Canis lupus familiaris: one gene and its partners. The protein of the gene in region 1 purifies or fractionates together with the protein of each later gene. This does not show direct contact. Links are inferred from orthologs where the notes say so. Each region holds a gene or a part of one and is shown in the gene's direction. Other genes may lie near its edges.

The links.
Region 2: the proteins of VPS50 (region 1) and VPS52 purify together in Homo sapiens (affinity purification with mass spectrometry; 4 studies listed by BioGRID and IntAct, counting the BioPlex papers as one, with this or other methods). This does not show direct contact. The link is inferred for Canis lupus familiaris from reciprocal best matches to the Homo sapiens genes VPS50 and VPS52.
Region 3: the proteins of VPS50 (region 1) and VPS51 purify together in Homo sapiens (affinity purification with mass spectrometry; 7 studies listed by BioGRID and IntAct, counting the BioPlex papers as one, with this or other methods). This does not show direct contact. The link is inferred for Canis lupus familiaris from reciprocal best matches to the Homo sapiens genes VPS50 and VPS51.
Region 4: the proteins of VPS50 (region 1) and EIPR1 purify together in Homo sapiens (affinity purification with mass spectrometry; 4 studies listed by BioGRID and IntAct, counting the BioPlex papers as one, with this or other methods). This does not show direct contact. The link is inferred for Canis lupus familiaris from reciprocal best matches to the Homo sapiens genes VPS50 and EIPR1.

Annotation. Positions count from the first base shown.
Region 1 is NC_049235.1:18,692,959-18,701,139, forward strand, and holds the start of VPS50 (syndetin), read left to right. Parts: upstream 1-3,266; 5' UTR 3,267-3,391; coding exon 3,392-3,424; intron 3,425-8,181.
Region 2 is NC_049233.1:2,850,193-2,857,214, reverse strand, and holds the end of VPS52 (vacuolar protein sorting-associated protein 52 homolog), read left to right. Parts: intron 1-3,355; coding exon 3,356-3,467; intron 3,468-3,675; coding exon 3,676-3,794; intron 3,795-3,990; coding exon 3,991-4,137; 3' UTR 4,138-4,643; downstream 4,644-7,022. UniProt on the Homo sapiens protein: Acts as a component of the GARP complex that is involved in retrograde transport from early and late endosomes to the trans-Golgi network (TGN).
Region 3 is NC_049239.1:52,586,975-52,593,854, reverse strand, and holds the end of VPS51 (vacuolar protein sorting-associated protein 51 homolog), read left to right. Parts: intron 1-57; coding exon 58-277; intron 278-431; coding exon 432-1,149; intron 1,150-1,502; coding exon 1,503-1,718; intron 1,719-1,917; coding exon 1,918-2,136; intron 2,137-2,559; coding exon 2,560-2,681; intron 2,682-2,774; coding exon 2,775-2,862; intron 2,863-3,663; coding exon 3,664-3,924; 3' UTR 3,925-4,054; downstream 4,055-6,880. Other genes in the region: delta(14)-sterol reductase TM7SF2, read left to right, coding at 4,348-4,399, 4,773-4,969, 5,076-5,130, 5,487-5,681, 5,761-5,864. UniProt on the Homo sapiens protein: Acts as a component of the GARP complex that is involved in retrograde transport from early and late endosomes to the trans-Golgi network (TGN).
Region 4 is NC_049238.1:1,868,123-1,875,179, reverse strand, and holds the end of EIPR1 (EARP and GARP complex-interacting protein 1), read left to right. Parts: intron 1-1,139; coding exon 1,140-1,307; intron 1,308-3,224; coding exon 3,225-3,399; 3' UTR 3,400-3,770; downstream 3,771-7,057. UniProt on the Homo sapiens protein: Acts as a component of endosomal retrieval machinery that is involved in protein transport from early endosomes to either recycling endosomes or the trans-Golgi network.

The DNA of each region.
Region 1 (8,181 bases):
AATAAGCCTTACATGCATTTTTGAAAAATGGAAATGAAATAACATGCTTCCCTTTTAAAAAGTATTTTTTAGGGTTCTAGGATTTTGTTGTTGTTGCTGTTTGTTTGTTTGTTTTTTAGTTTAATTTAGGAAGTTAAAAATGCATCCTGTATATCTCCATTATTTTCTATAATGTCAGGATATATTGGATTAGAAAATCAAGTTTTTTAGACAACAGCACTGATTTACATGTTTTCAATATTATAATTTGAACTTTTAGCAGACTGGATTGTTTATTTTTAGGTTATAATAAATAAGCTAAAACTTAGAATATTAGAGTAAAACAAAGTTTTAATGCTTTCTTGAATTTTCAGTGTCAAATAGACACATAAAATATTAATTTTCCCAATTAGGCTGATAGAAAAAGACAAAATATACATGGAATAAAAAAGATTTTTGTTTTGTCACTTGTCATTTCATGTATTGTATGAGGGGGAAATTTTGGGTTTGGATCTGGGTTGCAGTTCTGATTCAAGCTCTGATTTTAAGATGTGTGACCTTGAAATCATACATGTATCAATTTTCTTATTTCTTAAGAATGGATTTGAAATGCTAGAGCTGGTTGCCTGTGAGAATCACTGAAGATCTGAAACAAAGAACCTAAAAGAAAACAATAACAAGGGCATTCTCTTCAGGTGCATTTGAATGGTCAGGTTTGAGAATTATATGCTTTTCAACTAAATTATAAACTCCTTGAGGACCAAAACTCTATGTTAACTAACTAAAATGCTTAGGATATAGTGTTGCCTAGTGCCTAACAATCAAAAACTGAATTGGGTTTCATTTTACATGCTAATATAGTCAGCAGTTTCTGTTTCTTTTGATGCTTTCAGGGACTTATTATTTTAAAGATTGATTTTATTTATTTATTTATTTATTTATTTATTATTATTATTTATTTATTTATGAGAGAGCAGCAGAGAGGGAGAGAGAGAGGGAGGAGGAAAGAATCTCAAGCACACTCCGCACTGATTGAGAAGCCTGACATAGGGCTTGACCCCATGACCCTGCCATCATGACCTGAGCCATAACCAAGAGTCCCCATGCTTAACTGAGCCACCCAGGTGGCCCTTCAGGGACTTCTAAATATTGAATATTTTCACTTAATAAGAACTGCCTGGCAATAAAGACTAGTGTAGGTAAGGAATGAACTAAACCAGGGTTGCCCAAAAGTGCCTGGAATTTTTATGGGCTTAGAAATAACAGAGAAGCATATAGGCAAACATAATTTCAAAAGCAATTGTTAAGCCCAATGATACAAGTATGTACAAAATGATTCTGTTGGAGCAGTGAACTGGGCAGATTTGTGACTATAATTCTTCATAATTGTAAGGTGCTTAACAATTTATAAATTGCATTCACCTACATCACCTCATTTATCCTTACAAAAATCTTAGGTCAAATATTACAACCTCATTTGTAAAAAATGAGACAAAGACAAACGACAACTCAGAGGTCAAATGACAGAATTTCAGAATTGGAAATAACCTCTATATTGTGGCTTCCAAATTTCAGTCATTTGCAAACCACTTTTATTATTTTGCTATATCTTACTACCACTCATTATTGTTTACCTAATATTTTTGATTACTTTGGCACACTTTAACACTTTTTCAGTTGTCCTACGAAAATTTTTAAAATCATGGGCTTTCTAATAAACATTAATTAAATGTAAATTCAAAAAAATTATTGGTACTTCAGGACTCACTCTTCAAAACCATACATGAAACTCTTACTTAAAACAACATCTGGATAATCAGTCCTTCAGTTTCTGTTTGCATGTCTGCAGTAATGTTAGGCAAGTTAGTTTCTCCATTACTTAGTTTCCTCATCTTTAAAATGAAGGTTAAGTGCAGAGAGAGAGAAAATAAATTGGGGATAATTGTATAACCCTATAGAATGTTTATGTGGATAAATAGGGTAATATATGTAAAGCTATTAGCAGACTTCTTTTTGGCAGAAGGAGAAGCAGGCTCCATGCAGGGAGCCCGACGTGGGACTCGATTCCGGGTCTCCAGGATCAGGCCCTGGGCTGAAGGTGGTGCTAAACCGCTGAGCCACCCAGGCTGCCCCAGAGTTCTTGACATGTGGTAAGCTCATAAATGCTACCTGTTGTTAGCTCTGGATTGCTTTCCGTCCCCTAGTAGTCTCATAATCGGAAAATTCTTCCTCTGGACGCCCGGGTGGCTCAGCGGTTTAGCGCCGCTTTCAGCCCGGGGCGCGATCCTGGAGACCTGGGATCGAGTCCCACGTTGGGCTCCCTGCATGGAGCCTGCTTCTCCCTCTGCCTGTGTCTCTGCCTCTCTCTCTCTCTCTGTGTTTCTCATGAATAGATTAAAAAAAAAAATCTTAAAAAAAAATAAAGTCCTTTCTTTTTTTTCTAGAGGTTTTATTTTTTTAAATAATCTCTACACCCAACATGAAACTGAAACTCACAACCCTGAGATCCAGAGTGACAGGCTCCACCAACTGAGCCAGCCAGGCACCTTTGGGAAGTTCTTTCTTTCCTTTTTTTTTTTTTTTGGGGGGGGGGGGAGGGGGAGTTCTTTCTTAAATTAAACTCTGAACATCTCTCCTATCACTTTCCTCACTTTAAACGGCTAAAAGTGGAAATGAGAACTTCAAAGTGGCATGTAGACGACGACTATCATTATTGTTAGGCAGGTAGTGAAACGATAGGTGGGGGCTAAATCCTTGGGCTTTAGAGGTTTTTTTTTTTTTTTTTTTTTTTTGCAGAGATCCCGAGGCTGAGGAAGAACAGCCCTAACCCTGGACAAGACTGTCTATTAGACCACGCCTTTCGTCAGGCCGAAGTCCAGAGCCAGACGGAGAGTCCCAGCTTCGCAGGTCCCTTCTGGGACAGACAGTGCCTTTCCTAGAGTTCTCGCGTCCTCCCCCCCCACCCCCCCAGACTAGGTTGGGTTTCCTCCACTACACTCTTAGCGGGAAGTCACGTCAGTCCGCTTTACATACTGTCTTTTCAACGCTTGTTTCCGTCGCTTAGTGCCTGGCCACCTATGAGCTAGGGTTTCGCCTCACCGAAACGGGGTGACCAAGAGCAAGTACCTCCGTAAAGACAGGCGGCCGCCGTGGTCAGAGCAACAAGATTTGCAAGCTAACTGAAGCGTCTCGGGAAATGTAGTACCTGAACTGTCCTCGTCGCCTCATTGCCGGTGTCCGTCGCACCCGGAAGACTACAGTTCCCAGCATGCTCAGCTCAGGAAAGGATGACCCGGGTTGGCAGCTCCACGTGACCACCCACTATGGCTTCCTTGTGTCCTGGCCAGCTGTCTGGTGGTTCGGCGTGATTTGTTAGTGCTTTGCTGTAGGGTACCACTTTCACGATTTCGACATGCAAAAAATCAAATCTCTTATGACCCGACAGGTAAGTCTCGGAGGCTGAAACAAAGGCCTCTTTCGTCTCTGCTGGTGGAGGAGCCTAGATAGTCTGTTTCTGGGCCGGGGCGGGTGGAGACCTAGGGTATGGCTGGTGGCAGGTGTCAGGGGCACTGGGAAGTCGGGGGCACCCTGGAAAACTCTCCTGAGCCACCGTGATTGGAGCCCTGCTCAGGCGGGCTGTCGCGTTCCTTTAGATAAGGTCAATGAATGAGTTTCAATGAGGGCTATCTTTGTCTCCCTTCCTTTCCTTTTGGCATCTTTCCGGTGACAGCCCCAGACCCTGCAAGCCTCCCTTTATCTAAGCTGTGTGTCGTCTGTGAGCAGATGGCCTGGGTAGGGAGGTGAGGTCTGTGTAATAGAGATGACCTGGAAAGAGTGGAAAAAACGGATGAGTTGAAGACAGAATTGCTAGCTTCATGACTTTGGGCAAGTTCCCAAACCTTGTAGCATAAATTTCCAGATGTGAGCATGAGAAATAATTATTCTTGTTAACCTTATCTTACAGTTCTGACAGTCACAAGTAAGTTAATGTATGTGAAATGATACTTTAAAAAATCTTTGTTATGGCAAAATAGTGGCCTTTTATTTTTTATTTTTTTATTGTCACAATGATAATTCATGAATAAAAGCTTTGGCTGTTTTTGTTTAATTATTCATATATGTTAGGGACTTCAAATAATGTCTCAGTTTCCTTCAAGGAAGAAAAGGCAGAATTTCCTTTTACATTCTTATTGGTTATGAGTTGGTTTTAGAAGTCAATTATTTATTCAACCCTAATATTTCACCAGAATTGGCCATTCTTTATTATCTTTATATGAGAGAAGTAGAATGTAAAGTTTTGAATCAGAGAATTTTGAGAACTCTGGAGAATATGGAGAGTAGTCATTTAGTGAAAGGTTCATTTGCGAGTTTTGTTGTTGTTGATTAGAAGGAGATTACAAATTCCAAATTAAACTCTTATTTGAAAGGTAATCTGAATAGGTTACAAATGGTAGATATCTTGTGAAGAATACATGAGTCCTACATGATTGTTTTACACCTTTTAAATGATATTGTTAATGTCATGAAAATAAAATTTTACAGATCTATGAATAATAAAGTATTTCAGTAAGTGGCGATCCCTCACATTTGTTGAGTACTGGTGTTATGTACGGTTCATACCACTTATTACTTGAGAATATTTGGGTCCTGCTTCATTTTGCAGTAGCTATGTGACCTTGAGGAAGTCACCAGACTTTTTAGAGCTTTTGTTTTCACATCTTTAAAATAGGAATAACAACATGTATCTCATGGGTTCAGCCTGGTGGTGATGTTCATATAATATGATGAAGATTAAGAGAAATAGGAGTTAACATATCTTCTGGGTCTTATCAAGGAAGTGCTTGATCACAGAGGTCATCTCAGCAGCTGTGCGGATGCTGGAAAGCAGGAAAGCTGGAAACAGGCTGTTGCAGTAACAACAATAGATGATTTCAGACTGACTTTTGGTATCTGTTTGATTTGGAGGGGCATCTTTTTGATTTTTAAAACAATATACACTTTTGAACATTTTACCACTACTACCCCCTAACCTGACTTTAGAATGCTGAATTTGGACTTTTGTACAACAGTAAAGTTTGGTCTTCTCTCATGTTGCACACTATGCATTTCTGTGTAATCATCACTGTACAGCAACTTTGGTGTTTTGTTGTTTTTAACCTTATTTTGTGATAATGAACAGTAAGAAAAAATACACAAGTCCAGATACCAGTGATAATACGTTTTTATCTTCTAAATGTAGTGGAATTGTTGTGAAAATGGTGACTCTTCAGCCTCAATCCGTTGCTTATTGGACTTGAGCGGGTCAAATCATTGCTTAATTGGTATAGAAAAAAAACTAAAGAACACATACAAAAAGCTGGAACTATACTGTGTAAAATGTGAGGTAAAATTAGGAGTTTTATACAGATTTTTGAAAAGATTTTATTTATTTATTTAGAGAGAGAGCATGCGAGAGCAAGAGCGCAGGCAGGGGGCAAAACAGAAGAAGAGGGAAAGAATCTCAAGTAGACTCCATGCTGAGTGCAGAGCCTGACATCGGGCTTGTTCTCAGGATTCCAAGATCATGACCTGAGCTGAAACAAAGAGTTGGGCACTTAACTGACTGAGCCACCCAGACGGCCCTACACAGATTTTATTTTATTTTATTGTTTTCCTACACAGATTTTAAGAGTCACCCTTATTATTTATGACTTGACTTCCACATATTTAATCATAACTAATACACATTTCATGAATCTTTGAGATATGAAAGTAGGGTGCTGCCTGGAGTTACACTGGAGATTTTTAATTAGTACTGTTTATCATTGGGTTAAATATAGTAGTATTACAAATAAATATACACAAAGATGTTTCTTTTTTGTGAGGCTAAAGAATATATTGATAGTATCATTAAAGTGAAGAGATATGAAGGGTCTATGAAACTTAGGTATTTTGGCATTTCAGCTGTAAGGATCTTGGGTTTGGAAAAGAGTGAGAGGGTGGGTTTTGTTAGCACTCTTTATTTAGATGAGGTCTGTTGTTCAGCTTTCTCTATTATGCTGGCCTCTGTTCTTTCAATTCATTCAACAAATGTTTACGGATCACTATGTGACAGGCACCATTCTAAGTTTGGGGGTGCAGCAGTGAACAAAACAGACAAGTGCTCAGGCAGACGTAGTGATTAATGTTTGGGAGGAATAGAGGATAGGGAGGCCTGGGAGTTGGCAGTTTGGGATCACTTATAATTTTAGATAGTGTGGCCATGAAAGGCCTCATTGAGAAGGTGACGTTTGAGTTAAAAACCCAAAGGACATGAGGAAGTGAACCATGTGGTTATTTGTGAAGAAGCATTCTGGGTGAAAGGAAGAGCAAATGCAGAGGCCTTCAGGCAGGAGCATGGCTGAGCAACATCCAGAGGCCAGTGTGGCTGACATAAAGCGAGTGAAAACAGTAGGAGATGAGGTCTGGATGAGGTCAGAGAGCTAAGGGCAGGAAGCAAGATCACCTAGGACCTCATCTTGACCTCATCTCCTATTACTTTTTCTAAAAGCAAAGCCATGCTTCTATTTTGATTGAAATAGCAAGCAGAGGATTGATGTCATTTTACGTATATGGACTTCAGAAAGATCTTTCTGGCCTTTTAAAAGAATAGATTGAAGAGGGAAAAAGAGCAAAAACAGGGAGAACAATAAGGATGCTATTGCAGTAATCCAAATGAGAGACAGTATGGGCCTTAACAGAGTGTTAGTGGTAGAAGGGTTGAGAAGAGATTGATGGTGGGTACACTGTAGATATAGAGTTAACATGATTTCTTGACAAATCGGACTTGGGCTGTGAGAGAAGGAGAAGCATCAAGGTTGATTCCAGATGGCTTGGCCTCAGCAATTGGAATTGCCATTTAATGAAGTGGGTAAGATTGAGGAAGGAACAGATTCAGGGAATGCAGAAAGGTTTTAGACTTGCTCATTTGAAAGCCTCTTTTGAATATTTAAGTGACAAGATAAAGTAGGCACTTGGCTAAGAGTCTGAATTTCTGAGGACAAACGCAGGGATATAGATAAAAATTTGGGACTTATGAATGCATATACGGTGTAGAACTGGCTAAGATCACCAATGGAATGAGTGTAGTTATAAAACAGGAGTCCAAAGTTGGAGCTTTTGAGATTTCAATGTTGAAAGATGAGGGGAAGGAATGCCTGGGTTGCTCAGTGGTTAAGCGTCTGCCTTCAGGTCAGGTATGATCCCGTGGTCCTGGGATCAAGTCCCACATCGGGCTCTCTGCATGGAGCCTCCTTCTCCCTCTGCCTATGTCTCTGCCTCTCCCTCTCTCTGTCTCTCATGAACAAATAAATAAAATCTTAAAAAAAAGATAAGGGGAAGAGGCAGGTTAAGGTGGATCTAGTGAGGCAGATTGAGGAGCAGCCAGTGGGGTAAAACTGCAGCCATCTCAAAGACCACCTCACCTGTCCCATATCAGATCCTCAATAAATATTTGTTGGATACATGGTGGATAAAGAGAACAACTAAGTAGAGTGAAGTCCAGAAGCCAAGTAAAGAATTTAAAAGAGGAGGGAGTGATCATCTGTGCTAAATGCTGAAGATGAATGACAGAAGATGAGGATGAGCCTTTGGACTGAGCAGCATAGAGGTTATCAGGTACCTGACAACAGCACTTTTCATGAAGTGATGGGGAGGAAGGCCTGTTTAGAGTGGGTTTGAGAGGAATTGAGGACTAAGTATAACCGCTATGTTGAATTTTACTGAAAAGAGGAGGAAGAAATCACCTCACTTGATTTTTGATCTTTGGGACATTAAGTTGCTGGTCTCGTAAATGGAAATAGAAGATTGATGTAGATGTAACAGAAGTAGTCTGAAGTGTTAATCTGCTTTGGCCAAAGAAATAAAGTGCAGAGGCAAGTATTATGTATGCTGAATTTTGTATAAATTTAAATGGGGGAAATTTATCAAAACAAATACCAAATGCAAAAGAAAATCAAATAATGGTTAAAGATTACAGAGGCAGTTTCAATTTCATAAAAGCCAGGTACTGCTTTTGTTACAACTCTGACTTCCTGCTTTAGAAAAGTGAGGATAAAAATCATGACTTCATTTTTGTCAATAGAAATTTATAAAGTTGCTAATCAAAGGATTCAAGATGTATAATCCTAAAATACACGTGAGTGTCAGATGTGCTCTGAGACATTTATGTAATTCTTCATTTCT
Region 2 (7,022 bases), on another chromosome or scaffold:
TGTCTTCCCCATCTCATATTAATTACTGGACATTCTTCAGTGATGTAAGTGGATTTTTGGTGGGAAGAGTAGAAAAATATTTTTTCATTTTTATTTTTTTTAGAGAGAGCATGCTCAAGTAGGGGTGAGGCGGGGAGCAGGGAGGGGCAAAGGGAGAGGGACAGAGAATCCCAAGCAGGCTCTGCACTGAGCCCCAACACAGGGCTTTATCCCACAACCCGAGATCATGACCTGAGCTGAAATCAAGAGCCAAACACCTGACTGAACTTCTCAGGTACCCCAAGGATTTTATTTTTAAATGGAAATTGTTTTAAAAGTTTCACTTTCACCCTACCAGATCTTACTATCAAGCTTGGGTTTCTGCTTTCATTCAGCCCTGCCATTTTAAAAAAATTTCTAAAGGTTATTTATTTTTATTTTTATTTTTTTTAAAAGAATTTATTTGACAGTGAGAGAGCACAAGCCGGGGGAGTGGCAGATGGAGAGGGAGAAGCAGGCTCCACGCTGACTATGGAGCCCAGTGCGGGGCTCAATCCTAGGACCTTCAGATTATGACCTGAGCCAAAGACAGACGCTTAACTGGCTGAGCCACCCAGGCACCCCTAAAGATTTTTTTTTTTTTTTAATATTTTTATTTATTTTTTATTTATTTATGATAGTCACACAGAGAGAGAGAGGCAGAGACATAGGCAGAGGGAGAAGCAGGCTCCATGCACCGGGAGCCTGACGTGGGATTCGATCCCGGGTCTCCAGGGTCGCGCCCTGGGCCAAAGGCAGGCGCTAAACCGCTGCGCCACCCAGGAATCCCCTAAAGATTTTATTTTTAAGCAATCTCTACACCCAACATGGGACTTGAACTCACAATCCCAAGATCAAGAGTCACATGCTCTACTGACTCAACCAGCCAGGCACCCCAATTTTAACTTTTTATTGTGGGAGATTTCAAATGCACATACTAATAGCATAGTGGATCCCCTGGGGTCCTCTCCCAGGGGTCGCACCCCCAAGTACCATCACAGATCTTCAATCAGTAAGTACTTGGGGACAGTTTTATTCCTTTCTATCAGCACCCATTGCTCATCCTTCCGTGCCTGCCCCCCAGTTATTTTTTTTTTAAAGATTTTATTTATTTATTTATTTATTTATTTATTTATTTATTTATTTATTTTTATTTTTATTTATTTATGATAGGCACACAGTGAGAGAGAGAGAGGCAGAGACACAGGCAGAGGGAGAAGCAGGCTCCATGCACCGGGAGCCCGACGTGGGATTTGATCCCGGGTCTCCAGGATCGCGCCCTGGGCCAAAGGCAGGCGCCAAACCGCTGCACCACCCAGGGATCCCCAGATTTTATTTATTTATTCGTGATAGACACACAGAGAGAGAGAGAAAGAGAGAGAGAGGCAGAGACATAGGCAGAGGGAGAAGCAGGCTCCCCACAGGGAGGAGCATGCTCCATGCAGGGAGCCCCATATAGGACTCGATCCTGGAGTCCAGGATCATGCCTGGACCGAAGGCAGGCGCCAAACCGCTGAGCCACCCAGGGATTCCCCCCGGCCCCCGTTATTTTGGATTAAATCTTATACATCATCATTTCATCTGTGTCAGGATGTGTTTTTAAAAACACAATATAGGTAGCCCCAGTGGCTCAGCAGTTTAGCGCCGCCTTCAGCCCAGGGTGTGATCCTGGAGACCTGGGATCGAGTCCCACGTCAGGCTCTTTGCATGGAACCTGCTTCTCCCTCTGCCTGTGTCTCCGCCTCTCTCTTTCTGTGTGTCTCTCATGAATAAATAAAATCTTTAAAAAAAGAAAACCCACAATATATTATCACACTTTAAAAAAATGATCTTAAAAGAGCTAGTGTTCAGATTTTCTCAGTCATAAATGGTTTTTATAGTTCAAATTAACATCCATGTATGGTACATACATATGTCTCTTTGTGATCTATAGAGTGCCCTTCCATCTTTGCTTACCTCCTCTGCAATTTATCTGTGGAAGAAACCAAGTAACTGAGTCATCTGTCATGTTAGAATAACAGAATACAGTCTAGATTTTGCAGATTGCATTCCATGGTATGGCTAGACTTTTTTCTTTTTTTCCATAAATGTGTAGTTAGATGAAAAGTCTTGATCAGTTTGCAGTTAGTTGCCCACCCCCCCCGCCCCCCCCTGCCCCAAGGATAGTTGAGAGCTAGTGGTATGTACTTCCATTGGGGGCACATAATGGTTTCTTGGTTCCTTTTCTGTCAATAGCCATCAGTGATCACTGCCTACATCCATGAACTAGATTTCCATAACCCTCAATGTCTCAAAATTTCCCATCTCATCTGTGCTACATTTTAAGTCATTTCTTCAATTATAAAATTCAATTTGCTGTATCATTCTTCAGGTATTTCTAATCTGCTGTATAACCTGTTGACTTTTTAAAATTAAAGACTTTTAATTTTTAAGTCATCTCTTGAAAGTTTCATTTTGTTTCAAGTCTGTCCATTCCTCATCTTGTTGAGTCGTCATCTTTGTGTCTATATTTTTAATTCTTTGAATGTTTCATACAGAACTCACAACTGCTGTGTATATGACAGTTTTTTTTTAAAGATTTTATTTATTTATTCATAGACACAGAGAGAGAGGCAGAGACACAGGCAGAGGGAGAGGGAGAAGCAGGCTCCATGCCGGGAGCCCGATGTGGGACTCGATCCCAGGTCTCCAGGATCACACCCCAGACTGCAGGCGGCGCCAAACCGCAGTGCCACCAGGGCTGCCCGTATCTGACAGTTCTGATGTTGGCAGTCTTTGGTATACCAGTCTAAGTCCATTGCTTATTGTTTATACTGTTTCTCATGGTAGTTTCCTTTCATATGTGTCTGACGATCTTTGAGTTCATTGCTCTGTCTTAATCAGGGGGAGTCATATGGGCCTAAAATGAGATTGAGGATATTTTTCTGTCAAGAGGATTTGCCTCTGCGTTTACGGTAGGCAAATTACTGAAAGACCTAATCCACCTCGATTTATGTCAGCACCCCTTTGAGGCTCTCACAAGAGGCCCAGGCTCCGCTTCTCCACTTGAGTCTGGCATCAGGCTCAGATTCCAGATAGCAGAGTTGCCATCGCCATTTGTCTTCTGGCAGCCTTGCCTCTCCCAGCTTCCTACCTTTCTGGTTCTGGCTCTGATCCCAATTACTTGTGCTTTGCTCCCCAGTTCAAGTTTAGTGTTTTGGGACCATTGGTGTCTTAAAGTATGTAATTTGCTCTGGCAATATTCTGAGGATCTAGTCATTCATGATGCCAGAAGTGGGAAAATGTCTTGATACCAGGACATTTGACTATGTGTATGTGTGTGTGCTTATTTCTACAGGAATTCATTGAAGAGTTGTTGTCTCCCCCTTTTGGGGGTCTGGTGGCATTTGTGAAGGAAGCCGAGGCTTTAATTGAACGTGGACAGGCTGAGCGACTTCGAGGGGAAGAAGGTATGCAGATGATGTGGTCAGGTGGTGGAGTTAATGGTAAGGGGAGTGGAAAAGAAAAATGAGAGGAGGCAGATTCCATGAGGAGGGGGTAGAGCAGGAAAATGAGATTGGATGTGGAAGAGGGCTGTGCCTTGGGGAGGACGTAAGGGTTAAAGATCACCTAGCCAAGTCCTTTTCTGAGACCCTCTCTCTTTGCTCCTGCCATCAGCCCGGGTTACTCAACTGATCCGTGGCTTTGGTAGTTCCTGGAAATCATCAGTGGAGTCTCTGAGTCAGGATGTAATGCGGAGTTTCACCAACTTCAGAAATGGAACCAGTATCATCCAGGTAACTTGCAGCTTCCAGGCCTCCCTTCCCTCCAACCCCTATCATTAGTTGTTTTCTCTGGGCTCAGCATCATCCAGGTGACCCATGACCTTCAACTACCAGCATGCCCAAAGTTCTGGATGAGCCCTAGCCTGATTCCTGATACCATCTCTAGCACCACTCCACAGCCTGATCTTTCATGACTTTCTCTGACCAGGGAGCTTTGACCCAGCTGATCCAGCTCTATCATCGCTTCCACCGGGTACTCTCTCAGCCCCAGCTCCGAGCTCTCCCTGCCCGGGCAGAGCTTATCAACATTCATCACCTTATGGTGGAGCTCAAGAAGCACAAGCCCAACTTTTGATGCGCCAGACCCTGGGATCCACCCGCCTTCTCCATGGACTTCCGTACCCCATCCCAGACTCTTCTTCATCTGGGGTTTCCTTAACAGTTGTCCACCTGCCTCCCAGGTCCTTGACATGCCTCACCCTGCCTCATCAGAATAAGCTGGATCACCTTGTTTTTGGGTTCCCAGGACCACTCCCCCCGGGCTTCCAAAAGCCTTTATCATTTCCCTGATTTCACCACCCCTTCCCCCACACCCAAGTTCTCTTCCCCCAGTAAAATCTTTACTGTTTCAGTCTCAACTCTTGTCACCATGGCCTGAGGTGCAACGCCTCAACTCTTGGAATTGGTGGCAAGGCAAGTCATTGATTTTTTTTTTTCCCCTTTCACTCAGTGATTTCTTTTCTGTAGCTTTTTGACCTAAGATCTCAGCAACTTGAACACTAACAAGACCTCTCCTGGCTTGAGAGTTACTCCAAGGTCAGTCTGCAGAAAACAATAAATATTTAATATGACATAATACTCTTCTCTCATTTCCTTCCTCCTTCTTCCTGGGGCCTTCAAGTGGCCCCCACCTCTGCTCCAGGATCACTTTTTTGTTCTGGCTCTCTCCTGGGCTTATCTCCCTTCTGGTGGGTGTCCAGAAGAAGGGGTACAGATAGTAACTTCTAATCTCTAGCTGCTTCAGGCCAAAGAAGTAGCAGCGTTGGTTTTAGGGAGGGGACTGTGTCGTGAGTAACCAGCCTGGTGGAGGAAGGTGGCCCCTGGTTAAAAATGGCAAATACCTCAAAAAAAAAAAAAAAAGGGCAGATCCCTCAAGGGCTGGGAACACGGTTGTACAGCCTCAGGCACTGTTCCACAGGCTACCTTGATTCCCTAACAGGGGCTTAACTTGCATGGGGGGCTGGAGGGCTGTAGCACTCACACCAGGGCGGGGGTGGGACAGGTTTGCAGCGTGCCTGTTTCATCTATTTCTGTGTTTGCTTCCTACTGCACCCCTACACCTCGTTTGAACTCAGACTCTAGACAGAAGAGACACGGGGGCGCCTTTTTAGTCCTAACGGGAAAGGCGCAGGCAGTCGGGAGAAAATGGTAATTTGGGGATGTTTCCTCTGTTTCCTTCTCCCACATGGCCCGAGCATTGCTTCCCAAGTCCCAGCGAGCTACTGAAGGAAAAAGAATTCCACCCCCGGCGCGGGCTCTCTGGACGCGAGCCGGGCCTGGGGCGGGGTGGAGGAGAGGGTGCCTCTAGGCCGGCGGCGGCGGTGGGGCGGGGCCAGGGCGGTCCCGGCGGGCGGGCTCTTGCGATTGGCTGCCGCGAGGCGGGGGCGTGGCGGGAGGGCGCCTTCCCCCTCCCTCGGGAACCGCGCTGCGACTGGGAGGCCGACCGCCGAGCGGCGTCCTCAGTTTGGGGAGCCTTGGCGCCCGAGGCCGCCGGGTGTCGGGCGGCGGGGGGCATGGGCGGCTCCTGATTGGCCCAGACGCCTCAGGGGCGGGCCGGGGCAGTGTCCTCAGCCGACCCCTCCCGGCGCCGCCGCTCCCTCGGCTCCGGGCGCCCTTCCAGCGTTACCGCGCCTGACTCGGCCCCAGCCGTTCCCCGAGGCCCGCCGCGCTCTAGGCGGAGGTGCGCTGGGCTTCGAGGGCCGCAGCTCGCCCCGGGACCTTCTGTCCTCCTGCCTGCCTCTCCCGCCCACCTACACCCTCCCCTGCTTCTACTTTCAACCTTGGGGGAGCCAGTTCTCCTGTATGACCCGACTCCAGCCTCAGGAGAAGGTTCGCTCAGGGTTTGGGACTCGGGACGGAGGCGGCACGGGCGGCTTTGACAAAGAGCAGTTTCCCAGAGCAAAGGTCTCCGGATCCCCCACGAGGGAGACTACCTCCCAGATAGACGCCTTCGTGGAAAGCCTCTCACGCTCCCGTGGGAGAAGGGCTGCGCTGGCAGGCACTTTGACTTTACTCGGTACAGGCCACTCCTGTCCATTCCCGAATGCAAATAAATATTCAAACAACCGGTAAGCGCGTCATTTTGCAGGGCTGAGGGGCGGTGCCGGAGTCTGAGGAAGCTCTTGATTAGGGAGCCGGAAGGCATTCCCATTTTATTGTAGCTCACAGTGTTTGGGGACATCCATCTCCCCGGGCACCCGGGAGATCTCCAACGGACTCTCAAGGACCCGCGAAGTCGCAATGGGGTGAAAGGGAGCCGCGGTACCCACACAGACCTCCAGGGGGCAGCATCGACCAGGAGATGGAGTTGTTCCGGGCTGCTTGGTCTCGCGGCAGGTGGCTGCGAAGGTTCCCCCAGGGCTCCCATCTCTCTGAAAGGACGGAGAGAGTTTTCCTTCAGCCTAACCACCCACTCCACACCCCCTTTAAGCTGTTTTTAGAAGCATTTAAAAAAATATTTAATTTATTCATGAGAGACACAGAGAGAGGCAGAGACATAGGCAGAGGGAGAAGCAGGCTCCCTGCGGGGAGCCGGATGCAGAATCCTCCATCCCAGGACCCCGGGATCACGCCCTGAGCCGAAGGCAGACAGTTAGCCACTGAGCCACTCAGGTGTCCCTCATGCAGGACTCTTAACCAAGATCCTAAAGGCTCTGTGATTGAGAATTAGAAAAAATTACGTATTATTTTCACGAACCTCTAATGGAAATGTAGCATTTCCTCCAATGAAAAGTGTAGACAACAAACCACAGCAGAATTAGCAGTATCTGTGACTGTCATCAATAGAAATCAGATGCTTTTATATCACATCACCTTCCAGTTGCAGAAATCTTAAAATGTCATGTGTGCTCATCATTGCTTTATAGTTTTGATAGTGGTTAGACCTACACTGAATGTTATTATATATCACACATTTTTAAATTTATTTTTTATTTTTGCTGCTCGGAACTATGCCATCAC
Region 3 (6,880 bases), on another chromosome or scaffold:
GGCCGGAGCTGGCCACCCCGGGCCCTGGGGCCCTCACCACCTGCCTCCATCCCCCAGGGGTCCACGCGCTGCTGCGGAAGCTGCAGTTCCTCTTCGAGCTGCCCTCGTGCCTCACCAAGTGTGTGGAGCTGGGCGCCTACGGGCAGGCGGTGCGCTACCAGGGCCGCGCGCGGGCCGTGCTGCAGCAGTACCAGCACCTGCCCTCCTTCCGCGCCATCCAGGACGACTGCCAGGTGATCACGGCTCGCCTGGCTCAGCAGCTGCGGCAGCGCTTCAGGTGTGGCCCCGGCCCTCACCCACCCCGCCGGGGTCCTGGGCCTGCCAGTCTGCTGTCTGCCCCACTCCCCACCCCCGCCCCCGCCCCCACCCCCACCCCCACCCCCACCCAGAAGTCTGTGGGCCTTCCCTTCACCGCCACCTCCACCTTTCAGGGAGGGCGGCTCTGGAGCCCCAGAGCAGGCAGAGTGCGTGGAGCTGCTGCTGGCCCTAGGCGAGCCTGCGGAGGAGTTGTGTGACGAGTTCCTGGCCAACGCCAGAGGGCGGCTGGAGGCCGAGCTGCGGAGCCTGGAGGCAGAGCTGGGGCCCTCCCCTCCCGCTCCCGACGTCTTAGAGTTCACCGATCACGGGGGAAGTGGCTTCGTGGGTGGCCTCTGCCAAGTGGCCTCTGCCTACCAGGAGCTGTTTGCAGCCCAGGGCGCGGCGGGTGCCGAGAAGCTCACAGCCTTCGCCCAGGAGCTGGGTGGCCGCTACTTTGCGCTAGTAGAGCGGCGGCTGGCTCAGGAGCAGGGTAGCGGGGACAACTCGCTGCTGGTGCGGGCACTGGACCGCTTCCATCGGCGCCTGCGGGCGCCTGGGGCTCTGCTGGCCGCTGCGGGGCTGGCTGAGGCTGCCACGGAGATTGTGGAGCGAGTGGCCCGGGAGCGCCTAGGCCACCACCTGCAGGGCCTGCGGGCTGCCTTCCTGGGTTGCCTGACCGATGTGAGGCAGGCATTGGCTGCACCTCGTCTGGCTGGAAAGGAAGGCCCAGGCCTGGCGGAGTTGCTGGCCAATGTGGCCAGTTCCATCCTGAGCCACATCAAAGCCTCCCTGGCAGCTGTGCACCTCTTCACCGCCAAGGAGGTGTCTTTCTCCAACAAGCCTTACTTCCGGGTATGACCTATCTTTGGGCCTCCCATTCCCCCCTCCCCCTTAATCCTGGGCATTCTTTTATTCATCCTACAGTTTGGCAGCTATCAGAGCACACAGTCCTTGCTCAGGCACTCTGGATGTGGTTTCAGGCTGTCATGAGGAAGGCTGTGAGGGCATCTGCAAGTGGGATCCCCAGTGCTGGCTTTGTTCCTTTGCACTCCCTCCTCCAAGCAAGGGAGCTGCTCTTGGGTCCTGGAATGCAGGATAAAGCTGTCCTTTGGAGAGGGTCTAGGGCATTTAGAAATAGAGGGTGGCTAGCAGCCCATGCCTGGAAGAGGGGACCTGCTATGTATCTGTGACCCTCCTCCTCACAGGGCGAGTTCTGCAGCCAAGGTGTTCGTGAGGGCCTCATCGTGGGCTTCATCCGCTCCATGTGCCAGACAGCTCAGAGCTTTTGTGACAGCCCTGGGGAGAAGGGGGGTGCCACACCGCCTGCTCTGCTCCTGCTACTCTCCCGCCTTTGCTTGGACTATGAGACAGCCACCATCTCCTACATCCTCACCCTCACCGATGAACAGTTTCTCGTGCAGGTGAACCACTAGCTCATAGCAGGGTAGGGGATGGTGGTACTGGGAATCCCGGAGGCTGGGCTGAGCTGTCATGGTCAGACCCAGGCCAGCTGCTTATGCCCTGCCCAGCCTCTGCCTTGCCCAGCCTGTGCCCAGCTCCTGCTTGGCAGTGGCCCTTCCAGCACTCACTGTCTCTCTGTCCTCTGCACCCCTGGCTCAGGACCAGTCTCCAGTGACACCTGTAAGCACACTGTGTGCAGAGGCCAGGGAGACAGCACGGCGGTTATTGACCCACTATGTGAAGGTGCAGGGCCTGGTCATATCACAGATGCTGCGCAAGAGTGTCGAGACACGGGACTGGCTCAGTACCCTGGAGCCCCGGAATGTGCGTGCTGTCATGAAGCGGGTGGTGGAGGACACGACGGCTATTGACGTGCAGGTGCTACCCTCGGGCTGGCCAGGGGGTCCTGATGCAGGCTGTGGGTGTGAGGGGAGCAGTCCTCGGAGGATCAAGACACCAGTGCCTGTGGCTTGTTCCTCCTCAGCCCTGGCTCAAGGCATTGTTGCCCCCATTTTACTTACAATGAGGCTGAGGTCTAGAGTCAACCAGGGAATCAGGGCCGGGCTAGCACTGAAGTTTGGGCCTCAGTGCGAAGTTTCATGTCCCACCTTTGCCCATTCCACCAGACCTATAAATAGTGACCAGGTACCAAGTCCCCATTACCAGGTCCCCACTATCCTGTGATTCTTGTCACAAATGGGTTTGTAATTTAGCATGTCCTTGGGCCTCACCCTGGGCACCTGATGGGCTTGGAGGCTCCCCTTGCTCTGGCCTCCTTGCAGTGCTTTCTTCCACTACCAGGTGGGTCTTCTGTATGAAGAGGGTGTCCGCAAGGCTCAGAGCAGTGACTCCAGCAAAAGGACCTTCTCTGTGTATAGCAGCTCTCGCCAGCAGGGCCGCTATGCACCCAGCTATACACCCAGGTCTGGCTGGCCAGGGGAACCCCAGGGGGAATGGACAAAGGAGGATGGAGGTCCAGGGTGGGTTCTGATTGCTTGTCTTCCCCCCCCATCCAGTGCCCCAATGGACACTAATCTCTTGAGCAACATCCAGAAACTGTTCTCTGAACGTATTGATGTGTTCAGCCCCGTGGAGTTCAACAAGGTCTGAAGTCCCCCATGACACCAACTTCCAGGGGCCCTTGAGAAGGTTGGCTGAAGCAGTCCCACAGAGTCAGGAAGCCTAGGACTCTGTCCTCACCCAGGCTCTGCCTCTGTGGGCTGTTTCTAGGAGTAAATGGTCAGCCGGAACCCCACCATCACCGTATGCCATGGCCCTCTGCCCTGACCTTGGTGTGTTCCCAGCCTGGGTCTGGATGTAGATCTAGAATGCCTCTTTTGCTCTTGTCCTCGTCATCAGAGTAGTCCTGGGTCCTCCCCAAGGATTCCTGTCCATACCATAGTCTCTGCCCCAACCCAGCCCATACGCCAGGACTTGGTGGTCTTTTTTTTTTTTAAGTTAGTTGTTACTTATTTATTCATGAGACACACAGAGAGGTAGAGACATAGGCAGAGGGAGAAGCAGGCTCCCTGTAGGGAGCCCAATGCAGATGTGGGACTCGATCCCAGGATCACAACTTGAGCCAAGGCAGAAGCTCAACTACTTAGCCACCCAAGCGATTGGGACCTGGCGTTCTTTTGTCTCTGACTCAGCAAGCCTCTCTGCTCCCCTATGTCAGTGCTGACTCCCATCTCTGCTTCTGATTGTTAGGCCTTCTCCCTCTGTTCTCCAGATAATGGTGCCAGCATTGTATCTATGGGAGTCCTGGGACTTGTACACCCCATTGCAGCTCCTGGCCTCTTACTCTCTGTGTAGCCCCTGCCCAGAACTGGATGCCTTCAGGGACCCAGTGCCCCCTCCCAGCACCTGCTGGCCCAGAGCTATATTCCTGTTCCTTGCCCACAGGTCTCGGTGCTGACTGGCATCATCAAGATCAGCCTGAAGACGCTGCTGGAGTGTGTGCGGTTGCGCACCTTTGGTCGCTTCGGCTTGCAGCAGGTGCAGGTGGACTGTCACTTCCTGCAGCTCTACCTGTGGCGCTTCGTGGCGGACGAGGAGCTTGTGCACCTGCTGTTGGATGAAGTGGTGGCCTCAGCTGCCCTGCGCTGCCCAGACCCAGTGCCCATGGAACCCAGTGTTGTCGAGGTCATCTGCGAGCGTGGCTAGGCCAGCCGCTGCCATGCACGCACCCGCTTGCGCCGTTGGTCGCCCCAGCCTCCCCATCCCCTGGTCTCCCGCCCGCTGGCCTTTCCCCTCCGGCCTCCAGACCCGCCAATAAAGACGTGTTGTTCTCTTCCTCTGGCTCCCAGGGGCGGGGCTTGCTGGGGTTGAGGTTGTGAGGAGGCTCCCGAGGTGCCTGCGTCAGGCCCACCCCCCAGAGCCGATTGGCTGGATTGCTGGGCCCATGATGGGCCGGGGGTGGGTCCACTTAGAGATCTCCGGATCGAGTGGGTAGTAGTCTGAGCTCAGACCGAGCAGGTTCCAGTGCTGGTCTGATCCGCATCACCAAGCTCGTGTCCCGGGGGATGAGGTGGACTGTGTTTCTTTGACCGACTGTTGTGTACCCCCACCCCCGGTGGAGCGGAAACCATGGCCTCTCCTCAGGGATCCCGGGCTCCGCTGGAATTCGGGGGACCCCTGGGTAATGGGGAGAGGGTGGAATCTGGGGTCAGGCTCAGCGAAGGCGGGTGAACCGCAGGCGGCGGGGGTGGGGAGGGATACTGAGGAGCAGGATCTGAGAATGGAAGCCTGTGAATGGTCTCCCGAGGCCGAGAGATCGGGGGTGAGGCGGGAGGCGCTGAGTGGAGGATTGTACCGAGAGCAGCAGGAAGGTCTTTGGGGGAGCGTGGAGGCGGGGGCCAGGATGGAAGTCCGGGCAGGGACTGAGGGCGGAGACCGGGACATGGAGGGCAGGGGGAACGCCGAAGGGGCCCTGGAGACCACGGGGCGCCTGGTGAGGGGTTCGGAGGGCAGTTGCGGAGCGGACGCCCGATGCGATCGTCCCCGGCCCCCAGGCGCGGCGGCGCTGATGCTGCTGCTCCCTGCCACCATGTTCCACCTGCTCTTGGTGGTCCGCTCGGGCCCCGCGCGCCTCCTGGGCCCACCCCCCTACCTGCCGGGACTCCAAGTGCTGTGGAGCCCGAGGATGCTACTGCTGTGGCTCACCTGGCTCGGCCTGCAAGCGGCTCTCTACCTATTGCCTGCGCGCAAGGTGCAGACTCGGCTCGCGGGGCTCGCGGGGGGGAGCAGGCCGAGGGAGGCGGCTCCGCCAGACGAAGACACTTTCACCCCTTATCGGACCCCCTTTGTGCCTGCAGGTTGCTGAGGGACAGGAACTGAAGGACAAGAGTCGTCTGCTCTATCCCATTAACGGTGCTTGGGGGGATGGATCCTTTCGCTGGAGTCGTGGCTGGGGGTGGAGGTCTGGGCCCAGTGGAGATTAGCCCCCAACCCCAAGCTCCGTTAGATGCCTATTTTACGCTATGTGCCCAGGGTAGCCTTGGGGGATCTCACTTTCCCTCTTCACATCTTTTGTTTCTACATCCCTACCCACAGCATTTACTACTACTCTATGCACCAGAACAGTGGTGACCCACTGAAAGCCAAGGGCAAGATCCTTGACCTCCCTGGGCTTTGGACTGTGTGTGTTATGGAGGGGGGTGCAGTGGAGTGGAAGGGCAGAGGTGTAGGGACGCAGCCCCCAGGACTCATTGTGTACTGCAATTCAGGCTTCCAGGCCCTGATGCTGACAGCCCTGTTGGTGGGCTTGGCAGTGTTGGCAGGTCTGCCTCTGGGGGCGCTCCCCGAAATGCTCCTGCCCTTGGCATTTGCGGCCACCTTCACCACCTTCATTTTCAGCCTCTTTCTCTATCTGAAGGCCCTGGTGGCCCCTGCCTCGGCCCTGGCACCTGGGGGGAACTCAGGTGAGAGGGGTTCCAGGAGGGTGCAGACAGGAGTAGATGGGGGTGCTCGCTTGAATCTTCAGCCTCCATTATTCTCCAGGCAATCCCATTTACGACTTCTTCCTGGGACGGGAGCTCAACCCGCGCGTCTGGTCCTTTGACTTCAAATATTTCTGTGAACTGCGGCCTGGCCTCATCGGCTGGGTATGCTGGGCATGGCTACATGGGCCAGAAGGAGGGGGGTGGGATGAGTAAGTAGTGCTTGGGCAGGGCACTATTGCACAGATGTAAACCATTAATCATTCATTCATCCGACAAATATTTGTTGAGTCCACTCTGTGCCCTGGGCACTGCTCTAGGTACAAGGAGACAAAAGAGAAAAAAGTTACAGGAAAGCATAGTAAAAAAAAAATCTGTTCTCAACCTACTTTCTATTGGGAAAGATAGACAAAAATAAAATATATATAGCATGGCAGGGGATGCTAAGTGCTAGGAAGAAAAAGTATGGAGGGAGTTAGGTGAACAGGTGCAACTTTAAATAAATCAGCTCAAAATCTATTTTGAGGACAGGAGAGCTCATGCTATGCTGCCCGCTCGTTCTAGCAGTGCAGAACCTGAGACAGATCACTGGGCATAGCAAGCTGTCCATCACTAGTGGCCTTGATGTCATGCCAACTGTGGTTTTGGGTTAACACCACCCAGGCTGGACTGTGGTCAAGATTTCCCAAGGGTCTCTTGGGCAAGGTGCTCATGTCATCCTAGAAACTAGAGGTGAGAGGAAGCCAAGTATCCACCATGGATCTGCATCCTGGCCTCTGAGGTGATTTCCCCATGTGTGAAATGGGATCAGACCTTCCTGTGAAGGTTCTTGTGAGGATCAGAAGTGGTCGTATTAATGACAGCACCAAACCCACTGATATCAGAATGGAGGCGGCCTCTGGCTAATCATGAGTATGTGCTGGACACATCATGTTTCGTGCTGCCCATGCATCATGTCAATGAGTCCTCAGCTCTGTGATGCAGGTCCATGATTATTTTCATTTCCCACATGGGATGGGGGAAAAGTGTCTTTGGAGAGGGTAAGCTACTTGCCGAAGTGGCAGAGCTGAGATTTAAGACCAGGTCTGTTTTCATCCTCAAGCCTAAAATGTCCAGTGGCTTTCTATGTTGCTCTCCCCAAAGGAACATTACTGGACAAGGCAAGAGCCAACAGGAGGTTG
Region 4 (7,057 bases), on another chromosome or scaffold:
ATTTATAAACATAGGAAAAGAAGAAAAAACATTGCATCCTGTGTTCTCTTGAAATAGTACCAGTTCTAATATGCACACGCAGCGTGCACAGATGTTCAGGAGGCATTGTTTGCCAGGCTGGGGAGCTGGAGAGCGCCCTGATGCGCGTTGGTAGCGGACGGGTTAAGTCAGGCTGTGATACCCACGCCGTGAGGAGGAGATGGGGACAGCTCTGCGGGGGCGGACGGTGCCCGAGAGCCGTCCTTGCTCACTATTTCGTGTTTACCATGTGCCAGGTACTTGGTGCTGAGTTAGTGAGGGGTCTGCTCCAGACCTGCGTGCCCGTACAGGCTAGCTTTCTTTCCAGTGAGACGTGTGTGTGTGTGTAAGTGCAGGCTTGTGTGCACGTGTGCTTGTGAGGGCGTGAGCATGCTGGTTTGTGCGTGGGCGTGTGTCCCTGTTCTTATGTGCATGTGAACACGTGTGTGTGTAAGAAAGTCCTAGAGGAGTAGGAACTGAAGTACCGTCAGGAGCGCTTGCTCAGGCCAGGGTGGGCACCTCACAGGACAGGTGACTTCTTCGGGTCTGTGTCCCTGATTTCTTTGAATTACTTACCAGAAACCATGTTGTTTCTGGGATCGGGACATTTAAAAACCCGGCCTGCCAGGGTACGGTTCTGCCCAAGTCGGTAGGTTTCTGCGATTGCCGCAGCCCGAGGAGAGGCGCCTGCACCCCCACCCCCGCCCCCACCCCCGGGCCTCCGCTCAGCTCGCTGCGCTCCCTGGGAGTGTGTGCGGTGGCCCAAACCCAGAGCGCACCCCGGCCCCGCGGCAGCTGGTGCTGGAAGTCGCCCTGGGGTTTGGCTCCATGCGCTGGGTCCTCTCTAATGTGTCCTTTGCTTCTGGGGCAGTTGTTGCCGTTAGGACTTCGGAAAGCCCAGGGGGCGTTTTGAGCAGCAGGCCCTCCTCCCCCTGTGAGGTTTGCACGTCCGCTTGCTCTCGTGTCTGGGTGCCGGGCCTTAAAGGAAGGCTGGAGAGGAGCACGCAGTGGGCCTGGCCCTCTGCTGGGAACGTCCTCGTGTCAGGGCAGGCCCGGCCAGCCCGAGGGTGCCCCGTCCAGGAAGGCCCGCCTGCCGCTGGAACTGCCTCCTTGCCTCCCAGGGTGTGGAACGTCCGCTACAACCACTCGCACGACCAGCTTGTGCTCACGGGCAGCAGCGACAGCAGAGTCATCCTGACCAACATGGTGTCCATCTCCTCCGAGCCCTTCGGCCACCTGGTGGACGACGATGACCTGAGTGACCAGGAGGAGCGCCGTCCGGAGGAGAAGTAAGGGCGCGTGCTCCTGGCGGAGGGGGCTCCTCCTCCTACCTCGCGGTCCAGGTGGCTCTCGCCAGAAGCGGTCCGGATGGGGGTCAGGGGGCCCTGGTTCTGGGGACGTCGGCACCGCGGCGGGGGCATGGGGGTTGCATTAGGGGAGCTCACGCTGTGTTGCGTCGACCCACTCAGTGTCTGTCCACTCTCGTCGGACGCCGTACGGGAGAGGGGAGGGGCGGTCACTCGTGGTTAGATGTGCCCTTCGGTGGCAGTGAGGGCTTGGTAGTCCCTGGAGCGACAGGTCATCGTCGACACCCTCTCCGTGGGCTTGGGTCTGAGACGTGTGCTTCCGTCGTTGGCCGGCGGCCCTCCCCGTGGCGGGGCACGGACTCCAGGTGAGCACCTTCGGCCCCAGCCCATTGCAGCCTGAGGTTCCTCAGGGAACGTGGGAGACCTCGGTGCGTGTCCCAGCAGTCGCGCCTCTTGGACGCGCGGTCTCCCATCGCAGCTGCGTCTGCTCGGGGGCTAGCTCTTCAGCCGGTGTGCGCCCCCGAGACCGCTGGATTCCTGGGGGCCCGCTCCTGGTTGGTGCAGAGCCGGGGTGCCCCAGGCCAGGCGCGACGGAGTGTGGCTGTGGCTCCTGGGCGCCGGGGCGAGGGGGGGCAGCCGTGTCGTCTGTCAGCGACATGGAAGGGGACTGTTGTGTTCTGAGTAGACGCCTGCTGGTGAGGGGGAGCTGCGTGCAGCGGGGTCAGCCCCGGGTGGGGGAACGGTTGAAGCCGACAGGCAGCAGGCCTCCCCCATCCGTTCTGAGGTTCTTCCCCCACCTCAGCTGAGCCCCGCTTCACTTTTGAGAAGACATCTCTGTCCTCGTTTGGTTTCCGTTCAAGCACGTGGATCTGCAGTCTGGGAACACGGTTGCGGCCGTCTTGGTGCAAACACCTGCCGACCGCCGTGCCGTCGGGGTCATGGGCTCTGGCTCCTCGCCGGGGGGCAGCTGGCGCCGTGTGGCCCAGGGGTGCTGCCCTCCACACAGGTGGCCTCAGGGACGCGCCTGAGGTGGGGAGGCTGGCAGGTGCGGTGACACCCCCGTGTCCCCATGGTCCTGCTCCCATGGTCTGTCCGCGTGACCTGCCAAACTCCGGAGAACGAATCCTCAAGAGGATCCTCACGTGGTGTCTGTAACGCAGCCCCAGTGGGCACGGCGGGTCCACGTCGCGGGAGGAGGTCGATGGCACGCAGAGCTGGACACGGAGGGGCCTGCGCAGGGTCCGGGAGCACAGAGTGGGGACCGAGTAGATGCTTTCTGTGAGACGGGAACAAAGTGCCACGGGGAGAAATGGCTCCTGCCCTCGGGGTGGGTCTTGGTGTGGCCGCTCGGGGGACAGCCTGTGATGGCCCGTCAGTGCCCAGGGGCCAGGTCTGCGCTCCTCCCATCATGCGCGGTGTCACATGTGATGCACCATCGGGTCAGGGTTCCTGGGGAAGGAGCGCGGTCACTCCAGTTTAAAGGGAGGTGACACGGGAGTCCCGGCCGAGCACGCTACGAAGCCTGAGGCCAGGCCCAGGAGCCCCTTCCTGCCCCGCCGGCGGGACCCGCTGTCCTGGGGTCACGCTGGCCGTCCCCAGGGCCCTTTCTGCTTCTCGTCACTCTTTATTCAGCCCTCGTGGGTGTTTGTGGTCACCACCCCCTGCCCCCCGAACCTCGGCGTCCCCGGGAGGTTCCCGACGCCTGCTCTTCACCCCTACGCCGCGGTGGAGGCCCGTGCCCCGCGGCCCTGTGAGCGTCTGTGTGCAGGTGCCGGAGCAGCCTGGCGGCCCAGCGCGCCTGCCCTGGTTCCTCCCATCGCCCGCCCGGTGCGGGGAGTGAGGCCCCGGCCCCTGCAGGCCGCCCCCGCCTCGCTCACGCGTGTCTCTGGTGCCTTGCAGGAGTCAGGAGCCGCCGCAGGACAGCGTCATCGCCACCTACGAGGAGCACGAGGACAGCGTGTATGCCGTGGACTGGTCCTCCGCCGACCCCTGGCTGTTTGCCTCCCTGAGTTACGACGGGAGGCTCGTCATCAACAGGGTGCCCCGGGCGCTCAAGTATCACATACTGCTCTAGGCCCGTCCTGATGCACCTCCTGGCAGGTCCCTGAACACGTGCAGCTCTTTGGAGGTCGCTTTCCAGCGGGTCCCTGTGGGGAGAACCAGGTCGCCTGCCTCTCAGGCGGGCGGGTGGGCGTTAACACCAGGGCGCTCCTGCCGACTGCACAGCCCACCCTGTGCAACGTCACCCCTCCCGGAGGCGGGCACCGTCCTCACCTGTGCCGGGCGTGAGCCGCCCTTCCCGGCGTCCACGTCTTCCTGGCTTCGGCTTTCTCTAATCTGTTTAAGGGTGTTGGGAGTTTCATTAGAAAGAAAAAAATCTTTGTTTATATAACATTAACTCATTTTTCTCTTGAGATTGAAAATAAAACAAGCAAGGCTGTGCTACACGGAGTCCTGGCTCGTTCTTTCAAGACTCTGCCCCACGCACCTTGTCGCCTGGTCTCTGTGCATGTTCCGTGTCCCCGCCCAGAGGGGCGCTGACGGGCAGACGGGCCCCTGCACCCTGCATCCTGGGCTGACCCGACTATGCGCGGACCTCGGCAGTGACCAGGTGGCCCGTCAGCCTGGGCACCCAGTCCCGCGTGCTGCTCCCTACTGGGTCCTGCTCATGTTATGCCGATGGCATTGGACTCTTGTCCCTGGGAGCTGCATCCACGCGTCCGGTCACCCAGCAGCACGCTCCCACTCGGGAAATCCCACGTCGAGGTGTGACCCCCACTGCCAGGTGACCCTGAACCCAGCACATGGACTCTAGCCTGGGCCTCCTCTGTGGGCCCAGGGGAAGTGGGGGGAGGAGGACAGGTGGGCCAGAGGGAGGAGGGGGGAGGGGAGGACAGGTGAGCCCCCGGGGGGAGGGGAGGGGGAAGGGAGGTGGGCCCCAGGGGGAGGGGAGGACACGTGGGTCAGAGGGAGGGGGGAGGGGAGGTGGGCCCTGCGGGGAGGGGAGCGTGCTTCGCCTGGCTCAGGCACTTGGTGCATGGGCATCTCAGACGAAGCCCACAAGCTTTCCCTGGGTCGCTGTGTTCTGAGTGTGCCCCGGTCGGCGGGAGGGAGGGCCGAGGGACAGATGCAGCTTCCGGGGGGGGGGACAAGAAGCACCCACGAGCTGCCCGTAGCACCTGGAACGCTCTGGGAGGAAATGTGCAGATCGGGGCAGCGCGGCTCCTGTGCTCCCTGGACTCAGGCCCCGCCGTCCCGTGGGCCGAGTGTGTTGCTAGTGCACAGGACATGTGGGCAGCGGCACGTGTGCGCTGTTAGTACCTCGGGCTCTGGGGAGTTGACCCAGGAGGCTGCCGCGTGAGCCGTGGAGCCGCAGGCCCAGCTGTGGGGCAGGCACCCTGGGTGGGCCGATCACACTCACGACGGCCGGGGCTATGACACGCGGTGGCTCCGTGGTCCCCGGACCCAGGGCGCCTCCGGGCTGTTGTGAGTGTGCTCGGCCCACCCAGGGTGCCCGCCCCAGTCCACTCTGTGTGTCCACTGCTGCCCCAGGCACCACCACCCAGCCCGTCCCGCTTGGGCCTTTGTGTGCAACGGGGGAGGAGCCAGCGACCCGGAGCTCTGCCAGCTGTGTGCGGCCCTGCACCTTAGCCCGGCCCGGTCGCCCAGTTAGCGCAGCCAGGGCCGCCGCCTCTCGGGCCCCCCTGGGCCTGACCGCCGCAGGGTGTGCGGGTGGCCACCTTGTCCTGGTCACCGCAGAGGAGCCGCAGGTCAGGTTTGCGTGGAAGCGGCGGTGCGCATGCACGTGTTTCTGTCCGGGAGACACCCCGGCCGTGGGAAGCGCTCATGTGTTTCACGCTTTGTCACACCGAGCAGGACAGCTGCGGGGCCGCGAGCGCATGGGGGGGCGTCCCTGGTGCAGCCCACCCGCGGGTCCAGGCACAAGCCGGCCACACCCCTGGGCTCACCCCGTCGCCAACTCCAGAATGCCTCTGGGTGACCTTGCAGCGGTCCCCGCCTCCCCAGCCTGGGAGCACCCTGTGCACGGGGCGGGCGTCAGCCTCGGGGACCCATCTGTCGCCCACCCCCTGAGCATCGCACGGTGCCTGGAATGGGACGGCTGAGCACGGGCCGGGGTTGGGCCCCTGGATGAGCGGGAGCCTGCGGGTCATGGCCTCTGTGGGGACACACGGGGAGGGGGACGGCATAGGAGGCCCCCAGCCGGGGCCACACTCAGTCGAGCCTTCACTCCGCTCCTGCTTCCCACAGGCCTGGTGCTCCGGCTCTGCGGCCTGACCTGGGCGGCAGCCTCAGGCCCGCTCAGCGGGTGTCCTGCTCCAGGCACCTCTGAGCACAGACAGACGGGCACCAAGCTGTGGTCAGGCAGGGGACGTCCTCCGGGCGCCGGTCCCCATGGGGCTGGGCGCCCAGCAGAGCGGTGTCCTTGTGGCTGCGCCCTGCCTCCCGGGGGACCAGCGTGTCGGGGCAGGATGACGGAGTGACACCGGCCGGGCCGGGGCGGGCAGTACTGGGCATCGTCGTGAGCTCGCTGCCCACCCACTGTGGACACGTGAGAAACCCGCGTGCAAGATGTGGGGAAGCGAGGGTGTGCAGGGCTGACTCTGCGGGGTGACGCGCGAGTCTCCCTGTGCGGGCGCCTGGGGGCAGGGGCATCCTGGGCCACCCCCACCCGGTCCTCTGCTGGCGGGCTCACCGGGCCTCTGTGACTCTGTGACACGGCCTAGACCTGCTGCCGCCTGCCGGGCCCGGGACCCAGACAGAGGCCCTGAGCTTGTCCGTGCCACAGGGGCGCGGAGTTCAGGGCGTGTCCACCCTGGTGAACAGCAGAGTGTGCTTTGCTGCAGCTGAGCCCCCGGGGGGCACCAGACTATCGTCCCTCACGGCCAGGTGTCCTGGGCGGTGGCCACTGGGCGCCCAGGAGGGTCCTCCCCACGGCCGTGTCGCGTGGGAGGTATTACAGGAAATACAGGACGAGGAAGAGCCGCCAGATGAGGAGCCGCCCCAGTGAAGTGGGACACAGGGAGGCTGCTGGGCCACGCGCTGCTTCCTGCTGCCGCTGCCCCCGGGACTTGCCGCGCCCCTGCACCTGCTGCCGTCGCCCGCAGAAACCGGGCCTACGTAAGGGTCCCGGCCGGTCGCGGGGGCTGCAGTGAGCACATGGTCTCTGTGTTCCCCGGGGGCAGGTGGAGCCTCTGGGGATGGTGTGACGGCCTCTGCCTGGGGCCAGGGTGCTCGAGGGAGCAGACCCCGAGCAGCCACCCTGTCCACCCCATCCATCCCGGTGGCCAGTGGCCAGGGTGCTCCAGGGAGCAGACCCCTGAGCGGCCGCACTGTCCATCCTGGGGGCCAGGGTGCTCCAGGGAGCAGACCCTGAGCAGCTGCCCTGTCCACCGAGGGTGGCAAACCCATGGGTGGCAAGCCTGTGGCGACGGGAGCACCTGCCTTCCTAGACACCCGCAGGAGGAACTCCAGGCTGAGGCTCTTTGCTGACGCAGGAGGGCATCTCGTTCAGCGTCCTTGAGGACGGAACGCATCCATCTAGATGACTGTCACCCGTGAGGGCTCCTGAAAGGCCTCTGCTCCCAGAGGAGTCCTGAGGCCTGTCACAGTGACCCCACGTCCGCAGCAACCGCTCTCCTGTCACCGTGGGTGTATTTTAGATCCCCCGTATAAGTGAGATCCTACACCATCTGAGTTTCGGGGTCTGGCTC